Linked DNA regions of Elephas maximus indicus. The protein of the gene in region 1 purifies or fractionates together with the protein of each later gene. This does not show direct contact. Links are inferred from orthologs where the notes say so. Each region holds a gene or a part of one and is shown on either strand. Other genes may lie near its edges.

Evidence for each region. Proteins that work in one complex are often made in the same cells at the same time.
Region 2: the proteins of MYH9 (region 1) and ACTB purify together in Homo sapiens (affinity purification with western blotting; 4 studies listed by BioGRID and IntAct, with this or other methods). This does not show direct contact. The link is inferred for Elephas maximus indicus from reciprocal best matches to the Homo sapiens genes MYH9 and ACTB.

What each region holds. Positions count from the first base shown.
Region 1 is NC_064822.1:179,980,856-179,987,813, forward strand, and holds the start of MYH9 (myosin-9), read right to left. Parts: upstream 3,083-6,958; 5' UTR 2,868-3,082; intron 1-2,867. UniProt on the Homo sapiens protein: Cellular myosin that appears to play a role in cytokinesis, cell shape, and specialized functions such as secretion and capping. Required for cortical actin clearance prior to oocyte exocytosis. Promotes cell motility in conjunction with S100A4.
Region 2 is NC_064830.1:100,217,190-100,224,298, forward strand, and holds the start of ACTB (actin, cytoplasmic 1), read right to left. Parts: upstream 3,054-7,109; 5' UTR 2,957-3,053; intron 1,906-2,956; 5' UTR 1,900-1,905; coding exon 1,777-1,899; intron 1,647-1,776; coding exon 1,407-1,646; intron 941-1,406; coding exon 502-940; intron 409-501; coding exon 227-408; intron 17-226; coding exon 1-16. UniProt on the Homo sapiens protein: Actin is a highly conserved protein that polymerizes to produce filaments that form cross-linked networks in the cytoplasm of cells.

The DNA.
Region 1 (6,958 bases):
AGGACTACTTCCCAGGGGGCAGCCAGGGCTTCCTTCTGTTGTCACTGGAGGACTTGAGCCCAGGGGCTCAGCGCACCAAGGGTTAAGGCCGAGAGGCAGTGGCTCTCTGGAGTTGCACAAAGGGAAAATGCACTTCCTGCCCCGGGCAGAGATGCTGTTTTATGCTCAGCAAATTAGGATGTTTGTTTAATTAAGAGGACACACAGATTTTGTTCTTCTAAATATTTTTGGAACATGATGCTTGGGAAGAAGCTGTCAAGGCATGGATTTTTTTTTTCCTCCCCTTTGCTTTGGGTTTCTGTTTCTCCCCCTCCAAGGGCAGGGGCTGGGCTCAGAGGAAAACTACGGCCAACCCCTCCTCTCCTTTTGAAATAAAGATGTCAAGCTGGTCAAGGCTGCCTTAAGTACTTTACTGGAGGATTAGTGAGAAGAGGAAGTGAAGAAAGCTGGGCCATCCTGGCTTCTAGCAATACCCTACCAAGCGATACAACAATGGTGCTTTTTTTTTTTTTTTTTTTTTTTGAGTGTGTTTCGCCAGTTGAAGAGCTAACAGATCCTTGTTTTGTTTTTTCTAGAGCAAGCGCAGGCAAAAGACAAGCTACATCAACATGTGCCCTTCATCCTACGAGAGAGGTTGTAGCCCCTCAGGTTAAAAAGTTTAAAAATAAAAAACAAGAAAGGCAGGGCCCCAACCCTCTCAAACAAGCAGACCTCCAAATAATGTGCCTCTCTGGCTGCCTTTCTACCACAGGCTGGAGAACTCCCCAGACAGAACCCGCCAACCTTGGCTCTCGGGCACCTGGATCTGCCCACAGGTGCTGCCAGGACTTGCTGAGCATGGAGAATGGACCGCTTCAGTGTCACTGGGCCTGGCCATCCTGGAGCATGGAGGCTCTCAAATTACACTGAGCAATGCTGACATTTTTAATTACCTCCCAACTATCCACTAAATGACTCCTCACTTTCCAACACCACATGCGTGCCTCAGTTTGCCAATCCTGCGATGTGTTCCTGGCTCGCAGCAGCTTCCCAGCTCCCAGACAGAAGTGGCTCCTCTCCGCCTTGGAATTCCTCGAGTCCTTTGTCTATGGCATTCTTGGGACACTGATCACAGGCTGGCTTTGTATTTCAGTCATCCTTCCACTGTTTCCACCCAAGACTGTAAGTGTCCCAAGGGCAGAGGCCTCCTCCAGGGGCCCCCAAGATCTCTGCTAGGTGGGCTGGCTCCCTCTCCCACTTCCATGACTCACAGTACCTTTCTGGGGTCCCTGTCATCTCTGCCTCATATTAAAGTCATCGACAGATTTATCCCATGTGCTAAAGGAAGGGGCCAGGTCTTACTCAACCTTGCACCCCCACCACCTGGCAGAGTCCTTGGCACAAAGAAGCCACTTAAATATTTGCTCCATTACACATCTGTGTACCCTCCCCCCCACCATAGCATCCTCACATGTAAACTGACTAATATTAATCGAGTGATTACCTAAACAGGCCTTAAAGCAGCCTTCCTCCTTACCAAGAAGGGACTAAGCCATCCAGTGAGGTTAGCACATCGGGCTTAGACAGTGAGCCAGAAAAGGCCGCAGTGTTGCACCGAGAAGGAGCTAAGGCTCATCCTCGTCAACAGTTACTTTGAAATCCTGTTAAACCCAGAACAGGATGCAGTGAACCGACAAGAGGCTGGGCCTCTCAGATGCCCCGCGGAGCAGGACCTGGGACTTCCCAGGAGCCTTCTCCCCACGCCCCTGGGTGGGGTCACAGGCTCAGCCCTGGCACTCACCCTGCCCCCAACCTGGAGGCAGCCTGCAAGCTAGTCCTGGAGGTGACTCTGTCTCAGCGTTAAACCACGAGGCTCTCCAGAGGGTCGGGGGCTCGCGAACCTGCCCTGGACGTGGCCCAGGGACAGAATGCGTGAGGATTCCTGCACCGGGAACGAGGGGAGTTAGGAACCCCTGGACTGGCCCACACAGAAAAGATGCGCTAGCCCGGGCCTAGTCCCAAAGCAGCAGGTTCCAGCCCCGGCCCCTGGTCAGGCGGGGTGCCGCGTGCGCAATCAGGTGCACGCCTGGGAGGCCCCGACAGCTGCAGGCATTCTCAGGTAACAGAGTCAAAAGTGAGGGGCTGGAGGGGCGGCCTTTCCTGCGTCGCGGCCCTGTCCCGCCAGGTCCCCTTTTGCACGCACCTCTCCCCACCCTCCTCGCCCGCAGACTCCGCCGGGCGAATGAGGAAGTCAGGAGCGAGGGCGGAAACCAAGCCGAGTGCAATGTCTGCGGCAGGAATTGTCCCATTCTGACTCAGGAGGCCGCCTTGACAGCTGCCAAACGGTCCCCGCCTGCCCGTTACCTCTGTTTCGAAAACGCCTGGAAACTTCCAAAAGAGCCTCTGCCAGAAGTCCACGCTGCCCCGAGCCCCCCGCCTCACTCGCGCTCGCTCGGCTGGGTCCGAGGTGCAGGGCTCCTCCGAAGGGGTTAAAAAGTTTGGCCGACTTGGGCACTTAGGAGGCGCGGACAGGGCGCGCGCCCCGGCAGCCAGGGAGGTCGGGGCTTCCCGCGCGCCCCGTCCGGGGAATGTGCCCAGGCGGGTAGGGGACAGGGTGCCCGGAGCCCCGGCCCCGAAGCCTTCGCCCGCCCCCGGAAGCCTCGCCGTCCCGAGCGCCCGCGCAGGGGTCCCGTGCCCCTCCGGGGAGGATGCGGTGCCCGGGCCTGAGGCCCGCGGAGATGCCGCCCGCCCGCGCCGCTCGCCGGCCGCACCGAGGCCGAGAACCACACGCTGGCCCGCTCGCCCCTGACGCCGCGCGTCCCGTCGCCGCCGCCCCCGCCCGCCAGTCCGCCTGCCCGGGGCGGGACCTGCCGGTGGGGCGAGCTCACCTGAACCTGGATCTGCCCCGGGGAACAAGCGCTGCTGCTTCTGAGAGGGCTTTTTTGAGCGCTCGAGCGGCGGCGGGTGGGGCGAGCGTGCCAGGCGGGAGCGGCAGCAGGTCAGCCTCGTTCAGCCTTCCGTGCCCTGCCCAGGAACCGCGGTGATCTGCGCGCCTCACCGCACCCAGCTCTGCTCCTCGCCGCCTTCCCGCCCCGCCCTCGCAGCCGCCTGTTCCTGGTCTTGATGGACGGACAGCTTGGCCTATGGGAAGAGGGGTGGGCGGGACCAGGGGAGCCAGGGGGCGGGCATTCGTCCTCTTCATCCGCCTCCACCTCCACCCGCTGCACCTTCCCCCGCGCTTCCTAGGCGGGAGCCCCGCCCAGAGGGCGGGTCCAGCTGCAAACAGGTTTGGGAGGAGGAGGATTGACGTAGCCAAGGTCCAATCAAGAGGAGGAGGCTCGGGCGCGGAGGACTTGGCCTGGGTTTGGTGCATTGCCTATGCTGGGGCGAGGCCGGCGGGAGCCGGCAGGGAAGGTTGGGGGTGTTGACACCGGCCCCGCGAGCTGTGTTTTTCCTATCCCATGTCATCCTGCCAGAAAAACAGATATTAAAGACCATATATGGGAAAAATGCTGTTTTACATAATTATGGGGGCGGGTGTGGACTCAGCCCCGGATTCCGTTGCGGGCGTCCTGAGTTCGATTCCTGACCCTATCTATTTTCAGCCGGCTTCACTTCTGTGAGCCTCCCGACCTTTGCTCAGGCAGGAAATGCCCTTCCAAGACCCTTTTTACCTGATTTTAACTCGCACACATTCCTTCAGGTGCTTGTTACAAATACTTTGGTTTTTTTTTTAGGTAGGCAAGTCATGCTTTTTTTAGGGGGAGGGGAGTTACTGTCACTACAAGAAGATAAAGTCACTTTTTATTTCTTTTTGTTAATTTTTTTTATTTCTTATACATATCTTTTAATCCATCTGGAATTTATTTTGATTTTGGAATGAGGAAGAAATGCATTTTTTTAATAGCCAGTTCTCCAAACACCATTTTCTCCGCTAATTTCAGGTACCACCTTCATTATATACTAAATTCATATATACCTGAAGCTGATTTTAAATTTTATCTATTGATCTTTCTGTATATTCCCATGCTAGTTACACAATGCTTTTAATGATGGTACCTTTATAATATAGTTTATATCCGAGAGGGCGAATTTCTCCTCATTATTCTTTCTTTTTGGAATTCCCTTACTATTTGCATTAAACTGGTCTTCCAAAAGAACTTAAAGGAAAAAAACGTATTCTAAAGGCTAAAGAAAACTGGAAAAACATTTTGCAACTCTGTGACAAAGAATAACTATCAATAATAGGTAGAGAGCTCTCTCCAGTCAATGAGAAAGCCCCCAAATAAAATACACCCAAATTAAAATGGGCAGAAACAGGACCAAGCTATTAAAAAAAAAAAATGTGCATTTATGTGTCCCCAACAATTATGAAAAAATTAATCAAAAGAACAAAAACAGCATGGAGTGACATTTGTCACCTATGAAATTAGAAAGAAGAAAGATAAAAATGCCCACTGTTGGCCAGGTTTGAAGATACAGGCCAGAAAGTAAATTGATCAAAAATTCTGAGAATACATCCTAAGAAAATAATGGAAGAAGTGCACAGACTGGGTTAAAAAGTTCTTCATTGCAACATTGTTTATAGTCACTATTAGAAATAACTTAAATGTCCAATAATAAAACATTGATTCAATGAATTCTGATATACCCATATGTTGAAAAACACTCAGCAAGTCATTAAAATTCTTGGTTTTAAAATGTATTGGTTTTGTGACAGACTGATTGGAATGGTAAATGTTCACTTGAAGCTTAATAAAAATTAATTTTAAAAAAATGTATTGGTTTAAGTGAGGAAGAATAAATTAGACAATGCTATTGTAGCAGGATTTCATTCATTTTTGTGTGATGTTTGTATGTGTGTGTTGTATGAGTGTGTATCTCGGGTGTGTGTGTGTGTCAGAGAGAATGAAGTTTAAAAGGCATTATAACAAAGTGTAAACAGATGTTATGTCTTGGTAGCAGAATTATAGCTGATTTTTTCTTTTGCTTATCTGTATTTCTAACGCATATATCACTTGCATAATTAAAAAGAAGAAGACTCATTTCAATGTCACCTCTTCAAAGATGCCTTTCCTGACCCTCCACGTTAGGTTAGATGCCCTCCTGTATGTTCTCACACCAACTTTCATTTACTTCTCACATAGCAGGTACACACTAGATTTTAATTGTCCATTTACTTGTTTCCTCTGTCCAGGCTAAAGCTGCCGGAGGGTTCTGGCTTATTTGGCTCCTTGGACCCAGAGCTAACACAAGGCCTGGCATAAAATGGTCTTCTGTGAATGCTGGAGCTAGACTCAGTGAGCGTGAGCCTGTTTCCTTATCTGTAAAATGGGTATAATCAGGGGGCTTTGCCTAACCCACTGGACTGTTGAAAGGAGCGTAGGAGACCATGGACCTGAAAACATTTTGCAAATTGCTAAGTAGTGTGCACTTACAACAGAGCATTCTTGATAATAATCATTTCCATTTTCCTCAGGCCCACATCTAACTAAGGAAGTCTTCTGCCTTGCTATTCAGCCTAACACTATCATCTATCACCCAACAACCTGCACCCTTCACCGTTTTCACTCATGGAATATTTTAGAAAAACATTTCATCTATTTTGTCTGAGTCTTAAAATAATACTGTTTGGAATAGAAAATACTAAAAAGAAAGAAAAGAAAAATCACCCATAATCTCCCCTGCCATAGTGACTATTAACAAACCTTTTTCCTTCCTTCAAATACACTCTCAGGAGTATGCATATACACACTTACTGATGTATATATTTTTTAGTAAAATTAAAAGATCCACACATATATAACCCACTGCCGTCGAGTCGTTTCCGACTCATAGTGACCCTACAGGACAAAGTAGAACTGCCCCATAGAGTTTCCAAAGAGCGCCTGGCGGATTTGAACTGCCAACCTCTTGGTTAGCAGCCACAGCACTTAACCACTACGCCACCAGGGTTTCCCCACACATATATAGCCACCTGATTTATTACAAAGGTGCGACTGCAAACAGGTGGAGAAAAGATGGTCTTTTTTAATAAATGGTATAGGTCAGTTGAAGAAAATGAATCTTGACCCTCTACCTCACACCCAACATGAAAGTAATTTAGAATTGACCAAAGACCTAAATGTGAAAAGTAAACAAAACTTCTAGAAGAAAGCGTAGGAGAACATCTTCATGATCACGAAGTAGGCAAAAGCTTCTTAAGCAAGATATGAAAAGCACTAAACATAAGAAAAGATGGTTAAATTGAACTTCAATAAAATTAAGAACTTCTGTTCATCAAGAGACACATTTAAGAGAGTGAAAAGTCAAATCACAGACTGAAAGAAAACAGTTGCAATACACATACCTAACAACAAAACCCCGTCCCCACAAAAAAAAAAACCAAACCCATTGCCTTCGAGTCAATTCAGACTTATAGTAACCCTATGGAATAGAGGTTATAGGGTTTCCAAGGAGCACCTGGTGAATTCGAACTGCTGAACTTTTGGTTAGAACTCGTAGCTCTTAACCACTATGCCACCAGGGACATGTACACAGAATTTATCAAGAACATCTATTTTAAGAGAAATATACCAATTTTTCTTTGAACAGATAAAAGATTCAAATGGGTACACCATAAAAGAGGATATCCAGATAAGCAATAAGCATATGAAAAAGTGGTCAACATCATTAACCCACCCAACCCAGTGCCGTCAAGTCGATTCCGACTCATAGCGACCCTATAGGACAGAGTAGAACTGGCGTAGTGGTTAAGTGCTATGGCTGCTAACCAAAGGGTCGGCAGTTCAAATCCGCCAGGCGCTCTTGGAAACTGAACATCATTAGTCATCATGAAATGCAAATTAAACCACAATAAGATACTGCTGTCTCCCTACCCCCACCAAAGTGACTCAAATTAAAACACCAAGTGTTGTCAAGGATGAGGAGCAACTACTCTCATACATTGCTTGTGGGAGTGTAAATTGGTGCAACCACT
Region 2 (7,109 bases), on another chromosome or scaffold:
CAGGAGGAGCAATGATCTGGGGAGAGAAGCAGACAATCTGTGTGAGAACTGGGATGTGGCGGCCCTGTGGGACTGGCACATGGTGACAGAAAAGCCTCCTGAACATCCTAGGGAACCACACGCCAAGATGGCTGACGACCGCTTGGACAACCACTGGGACCATCCCACACAATGGCCAACAAACTGGTGGCCGTCTCCCAACTCATGTGACTGGACACACACTCACCTTGATCTTCATTGTGCTAGGTGCCAGCGCTGTGATCTCCTTCTGCATCCTGTCAGCAATGCCCGGGTACATGGTGGTACCGCCGGACAGCACTGTGTTGGCGTAGAGGTCCTTGCGGATGTCAACGTCGCACTTCATGATGGAGTTAAAGGTAGTTTCGTGGATCCCACAGGATTCCATTCCTGGAAGAAAATGGAAGGCAGACTAGATTTAGTTTTGCTGCAGGGACACCTGGCCCTTGTGCAGGGCAGGGGCCAGGAGCCCAGCTTACTCACCCAGGAAGGAAGGCTGGAAGAGGGCCTCGGGGCAGCGGAACCGCTCGTTGCCAATGGTGATGACCTGCCCATCAGGCAGCTCATAGCTCTTCTCCAGGGAGGAGCTGGAGGCCGCCGTGGCCATCTCCTGCTCGAAGTCCAGGGCAACGTAGCAGAGCTTCTCCTTGATGTCACGCACAATTTCCCGCTCAGCCGTGGTGGTGAAACTGTAGCCTCGCTCCGTGAGGATCTTCATGAGGTAGTCCGTCAGGTCCCGGCCAGCCAGGTCCAGACGCAGGATGGCGTGGGGGAGAGCATAGCCCTCATAGATGGGCACAGTGTGGGTGACCCCATCGCCGGAATCCATCACGATGCCGGTGGTACGGCCAGAGGCATACAGGGACAGCACGGCCTGGATGGCCACGTACATGGCGGGGGTGTTGAAGGTCTCGAACATGATCTGTGGGGAAGACATGAGGCCTTGTCAGGCACAGGAAGCTGGCCCTGCCCACCCAAGAGGGGAGGGAACAGCCAGACCAGACCAGCGACATGCAGAAAGTGCAAGGAACACAGCTAAGAGTGCTGGGGGTGGGGATGAGGATTCAGTTCAGACCTACTGTGCACCTACTGAATACACACTCTGAGGCCATCTTACACCAGCCTCTTGGTTCTGGCATAGAACCAGTGTTAGTACCTACACCCACAGCACTAAAGGCTTAAAACACCTAGTCACTGAGACAAACACCAGAAAGAGACTGCGTCTGGGGAAAGGCAAACAGAACCTGTACAGTTCCACAGGAGACTGAGATCAGAGAAGAGACTCCTAGGAGAACGGCAGAAAGAAGGACAAGTGAGAAAGAGCGTGGTGGAGAAAGTTAAAAAAGGGTGGCGGATGCCACCCAACAGGACCCCATCTGGCCACTGACCTGGGTCATCTTCTCGCGATTGGCCTTAGGGTTCAGGGGGGCCTCAGTCAGCAACACAGGGTGCTCTTCGGGGGCCACACGCAGCTCGTTGTAGAAGGTGTGGTGCCAAATCTTCTCCATGTCATCCCAGTTGGTGACAATACCATGCTCAATGGGGTACTTGAGGGTCAGGATGCCTCTCTTGCTCTGGGCCTCGTCGCCCACATAGGAATCCTTCTGGCCCATGCCCACCATCACACCCTGCGGAAGAAGGGCAGGAGGCAGTCAGCATTGACCCCCGCCCATATGGCCTTCCCAAGGTCCCAGGGGCCGCGCCCAAGAGAGAGCCCCACCCACTCACCCACCCACTTCGAATAGACTGTCGCCTTACCTGGTGCCGGGGGCGCCCCACGATGGAAGGGAAGACGGCCCGGGGGGCGTCGTCGCCCGCGAAGCCGGCCTTGCACATGCCGGAGCCGTTGTCGACCACGAGAGCAGCGATGTCATCGTCCATGGCGAACTGCGGGGAGCAGTCTATGAGCAGGACGCCCCCGCCCCGCCCGCTGCGCCCCTCCCCGCTTCCGGCGCGCGGCAGCCTCGGGCCGCCAGGGGGCGCCGGCGCGCGGCCTCGGGACAAAGGAAGCCGGGCCGGCCACGTTATTACCATAAAAGGCAAAGGTTGTTCGGCAACGGCCGCAGGCCAGGCCCCGCCCCCCGAACGCCGGCCCCGCCCAAGCCCCGTTCAAACCCGGCTGGGCGCGCGGCCACACCCTCGGCGGGCGGAGGGAGTTAAGTGCGCGCAGCCGCCTTCACGGCTGCTGCGACCCCACCCCTTCCGGGACGGCCGCCCCGCCCTCACCCTACAGGCCCGGCCCGCGCTGTCCGCGTTCGCGGCTGCCGGACGCACGCGCAGTAGCGCCCCAGCCCCCACACGGCCCCGGCTTGGGCCCGCCGCGCGCTCCCACCCACTTAGCCAGGCGGCTGGCAGCAAGCAGCCTGCCCGCTCAGACAAAGGCTGGGTCTCCCCAACCCCGACCACTGAACCCCTCAGGGCCGTGCTTCCCAAGCCCTTGTTCCCGGGTCTTCACTTGTCGCGGGGCCGCGGTTTGTGGGCAGACACCAAGGCAACCCGGCCAAGGGGTGCTGGCTGCCCAGAAAGAGGGCACGGGGACTGTGCGCGGGGTCCCGCCATTAGCGCGGGGACTGTGCGCGGGGTCCCGCCATCAGCGGGGGGGACTGTGCGCGGGCCCCGCCATTAGCGCGGGGACTGTGCACGGGGCCGCCATCAGCGGGGGGACTGAGTGCGGGGTCCCGCCATTAGCGCGGGGACTGTGCACGGGGCCGCCATCAGCGGGGGGACTGTGCACGGGGCCGCCATCTGCGGGGGGACTGTGCACGGGGCCGCCATCAGGGAGGGGACTGTGCGCGGGGCCCCGCCATTAGCGCGGGGACTGCACGGGGCCGCCATCAGCGGGGGGACTGTGCGCGGGGTCCCGCCATCAGCGGGGGGACTGTGCACGGGGCCGCCATCAGCGGGGGCACTGTGCGCGGGGTCCCGGCCAGGGGCTTACCTTTGGGGTGGCGGGTGTGAATCGGCGGCGGTAGCGGTGCGGTGGCGAAAGGCCTGTGCTCGCGGGGCGGACGCGGTCTCGGCAGTGGCTGCGCGACGCGCCGCCGGGTTTTATAGGGCGCCGCTGCGGCAGCTCGAGCCATAAAAGGCAACTTTCGGAACGGCGGCCGCTCATTGGCCGCCCGCCGCTCACTCACCGGCCTCGCCGCACAGGGCAGCATTTTTTTACCCCCTCTCCCCTCCTTTTGCAAAAAAAAAAAAAGAGAGAGCGAGAGCGAGATTGAGGAAGGGAGGGAGAGTTTTGGCTTTGGCCGCCCTTGGGTGCTGGGTTCGTGGGCCAGGGTGCGCGCCCTGGGCCACCGCCTGCCCCGCTCTCCGCACCCCCTATCCGGGACCCTCGGGGTGTGGATGTCACATGAGCAGTGCACGCCCGATTGGCACGGGTCAGCTTGGGTACTGCCAGAGGCCTGGTTGCTGTGGGCACCTGCTTGAGGAGCAGCGGGAGAGGGGAAGTGAGGTGGGGGCAGTCAGGGGTCACTGCCCGTTGCCAACATTAGCGAAACTGCCTGGACGGGCTGGGGGTTTCTGGCTGGAATGCTCAGCTTGCTACGGAGCAGGGGGGCCCTACTCAGAGGTCTGGGGCTGAGGGTAGGGGTTGGGGGAGTCAGGGGGCTTGTGGCCACTTAGAAGGACCTCAGGGCCCAGGCCCCAGGACCCCAAGGTTTCACTGTGCGGAAGTCTCCCAGCCACCCCAGCCACAGGCTTTGGGCTCCATGGAGCAAGGAAACTGTTCCCATGGTGCCAGGCTGCCTCTGAGGGCTGCCTGGGCACACCCAGGCCAGACCAGGGCCGTTAGCCGGTGGCCGAGCAGCTGCTAGGCCCTGCTGGGCTCAGTACAGCCCTGAGGACTGGGTCACCATCCATTGTCATGTGTAGCTACAGCTGAGCTGCCTACCTGGACCATCTGGAGTCTGCAAAGAACACTGGGGAGGGACACTGCCTGTGCCAGAGAGGAGCTGGGGGACAGTGGTGGTGGGAGCTGTCCTTCAAGAGCCTCTGGTCACTCTTTCTTGCCCTGGGTCTGTTCACCAAACACTGGGCAGGACCTCTATGCCCAGGAGTGTTCCAGGTGGTCAGCAGTGAGTGGCCCACTTCCCTGTTCCGGGAGCTACTAGCCTGATTTGGGTAGCCACATCTTGGTCAGTGTGTCCAGACAGAAGCCCAGGGCCATGGGATCCCAGAGTAGCATGTGGCTCTGGCTAGGGAGGCATGCAGGCCTTCTGGAGCTGGTGACAAGAAGTTGGACTTGCATATGAAGAAAACAGGAAGGTGGTCCAGCTAGGGGCACACACTAGTTGCCACCACTGGTCCATGCTGGACACCCTGTCTGCCCAGGGCTTTGCAGCACATAGCACGTGCTTGGGGAATGTGTGTGGAAATGAAGGCTCCATTAGCCCTCATAGGGGTGTGGTACCTGTGGCCAGGAAAGAGGTGGCAGAGCACTATGAAGATGGACAGAGTGACCACCACCCAGCTTACAGAGGAGGTCATAAGCTCCGAGCCCCATGCACACATTCCCAGAGGCCTGCCAGGTGACTTGCCACTGCTCCACTGTTACCGCCCAGGCCTGGGAGCACTTTCTCAGCCTGTCCACTCCCTGCCTCCCCTCCCTGGGGGCTGGACTGCCCTGTCCCTGGCCTTGTGTCTCTCAGTGGCAGGAGTCTTGCCAGCCGCCTCAGAATCTGCCAACCCTGTGATTCAGCAGGCTGGGGGGCAACCTTTTCCACTCACTGTTGATGAGGCTGTGCTCCCGTTGTGTGCACAGAGCCTAATGGGTGCTGAGCAAGCGGGGCGGGCCAGAGCTATAGGGCAAGGGTCCTGAGCTCTACCTGGCCTCTTCTCAGAGGCCTCTGCCCAGGCACCCAGCCAGGGGCCTGTCAAGTGACAGGCACTCCAGCTCACCTCGCCTCAGGCTGTAACATTCCTGGCCTTCTGGCTCCCTCTGCCTGCAACCGCCACTTCCTTTTGCTCTCCTATGCATCCTGCAAGGCCCATCCAAGAACACCCCTCCTTGGGGAGCCCATTAGCATGGTCCACATACACCCTCCTTCTCACACAAGATCACTGTGCTGGGCCCACATTTATAACTGAACCTTTGGAGGGTCTTGGCCTCCCTACTTCCCACCACATGCACCCCAGGGGCCTACTCTGCTAAATGAAAAATTGACCACCTGTCTGTCCTCAATCCCTGGGAGGTGCAGAAGGTTAACTGAAAAGCTGTAACTGAAAAGCTGGGGCTTCTAGTATACCCAGAGACACTTTGGAAAAAAGGCCCTGGCAATCTATTTTTGAAAAACCAGTCTTTGAAAACCCTATGGAGCACAGTTCTCTGACACACATGGCATTGCCATGAGTTGGAATGGACTCCACGGCAACTGAGTGGCATCTGACTGGGTGTCCTCAGCCTTCAGAGAGGACCCTGTGGAGATGGGGTGCAGGAGGGGGCTAGGGCAGCCAGCCTAGGTGGGGGAGGCGCTCAGTTGGCCAGTAAACAGGCCAGAGAGAGAAAGCAAGCAGAGGAAGAGGAAAAGAGGAAGTGGAGAGCTGGAGGGAGGGGGTGGAGAGGGCAGGAGAGAGGAAGTGAACAGGTTCTTCTTAGCTTGGGAAATTCGCTCTTGCAGGGAGTTTCACAGCTGGGACTTCAGGTCTCGGCAGAGCCACAGCAAGACCTCAGCTGGGGCCCAGCCGCTGCAGACTCCACCTGCTCCCCTGGTACTTTTTCTTTCAGCGCCTTGGTCCCACCTCCATGCCTTTGCTCTAGGGATTCCCCCACCCTGCAAGGCCCCCAGGCAAGGGGACATCTCTAACACGGTGTCTTGTAGCATTTACAGTGCCTATGGAGGGGCCACTCCCTTGAAGCCCCACTGCCAGGCGGGGGTCCCACGCTCCATTTTTTTGAGAAGGGAGGCTGAGCAGGGCAGGAGAACTCCCTTTCTAGACTTTTGGCTCCAGTAGGGCAGAGACCCCACATACAGTAGGTGCTCAGTGAGGGGTGACTGAGTGCTGGAGTGAAGGAGGAGCTGAAACATCTCGTTTTTACAGATGAGGAAACTGAGGCAGGACTGGTAAAGCACGTAGGGCTGGCACCCCTGTGTGAAGGATCCAAACTCCAGGCACCCAGAGGTGGCAGCCTCACCTTCCTTCTGACATTGCCGCTCCCTGGCTAAAGTGTCCCCTGGAATGTCCCCAGGGACCTGGATCAAAGGTTCTTCAAAAGGCTGAATTCCTGGACCCTTCCCTCCTCAACACTTGCCTCCTGAGGACCAGAGAGGACAGCACCAGCTCTTGGTCACACAACAATCCATCCTGAGGCCCCATACCTGCTCTCTCCTGCCACTTCTTGCCCCCATCTCCCCTGTTTCTAGAATGTTCTCAAGGCACAACCCAGACCCCTTTGAGCAACTGGACCTCAGGAATCTGGAGAGCATGTGCTGGGGGTCCCTCTGCCTCCTGCCCAAGATCTCCTCAGCCTTCAGTGTCCCCTCTTGGGCTGCCTCCTCCAGGAAGCCTACCATGACTTCCTCCCTCCTCTGACAGAATAGCAGTAGCTTTCCTGCTCAGAAAGGCAAAGAAGTCCAGCCAAGATCACACAGCAAGGGCACAGCCAGGAGCTGAATCTGAAAGGCCTTTCCTCTGGAGCACCTCCTAGATCACACTGATCCTGCTTCCCACGCACCGATCAGCCAGACAGGCTTCCAGAGTTCATTAGGCACTGTTCTGAGCAAGGATCATGAGTGTAATCCTTGAGACAGACCTCGAACAAAAGAGCAAAGAAAAACAAGTCTAATGCCTCTCTGAGGGCAAGCACAGGTTTCCTTAAGAAGGAGAACCTGAGACCAAATCCACTGCCATCAAGTAGGTTCTGACTCATAGGGACTTTATAGGACAGGGTAGAACTGCCCCGTAGGGTTTGGGGGCAGTTGACCTTTTGGTTAGCAGCTGAGCTCTTAATCACTGTGCCAAAGGACAGTCAGGGAGGGCCTCTCTGGGGAGGTGACAGGCAGCTGAAGGAGGTGGTGAAGAGAAAGGGAGGGTTTCAGAGGCAGGAGGGCTGGGCTGGGCCATGGCCAGGGTCACGGACTCCACCTAGGCCA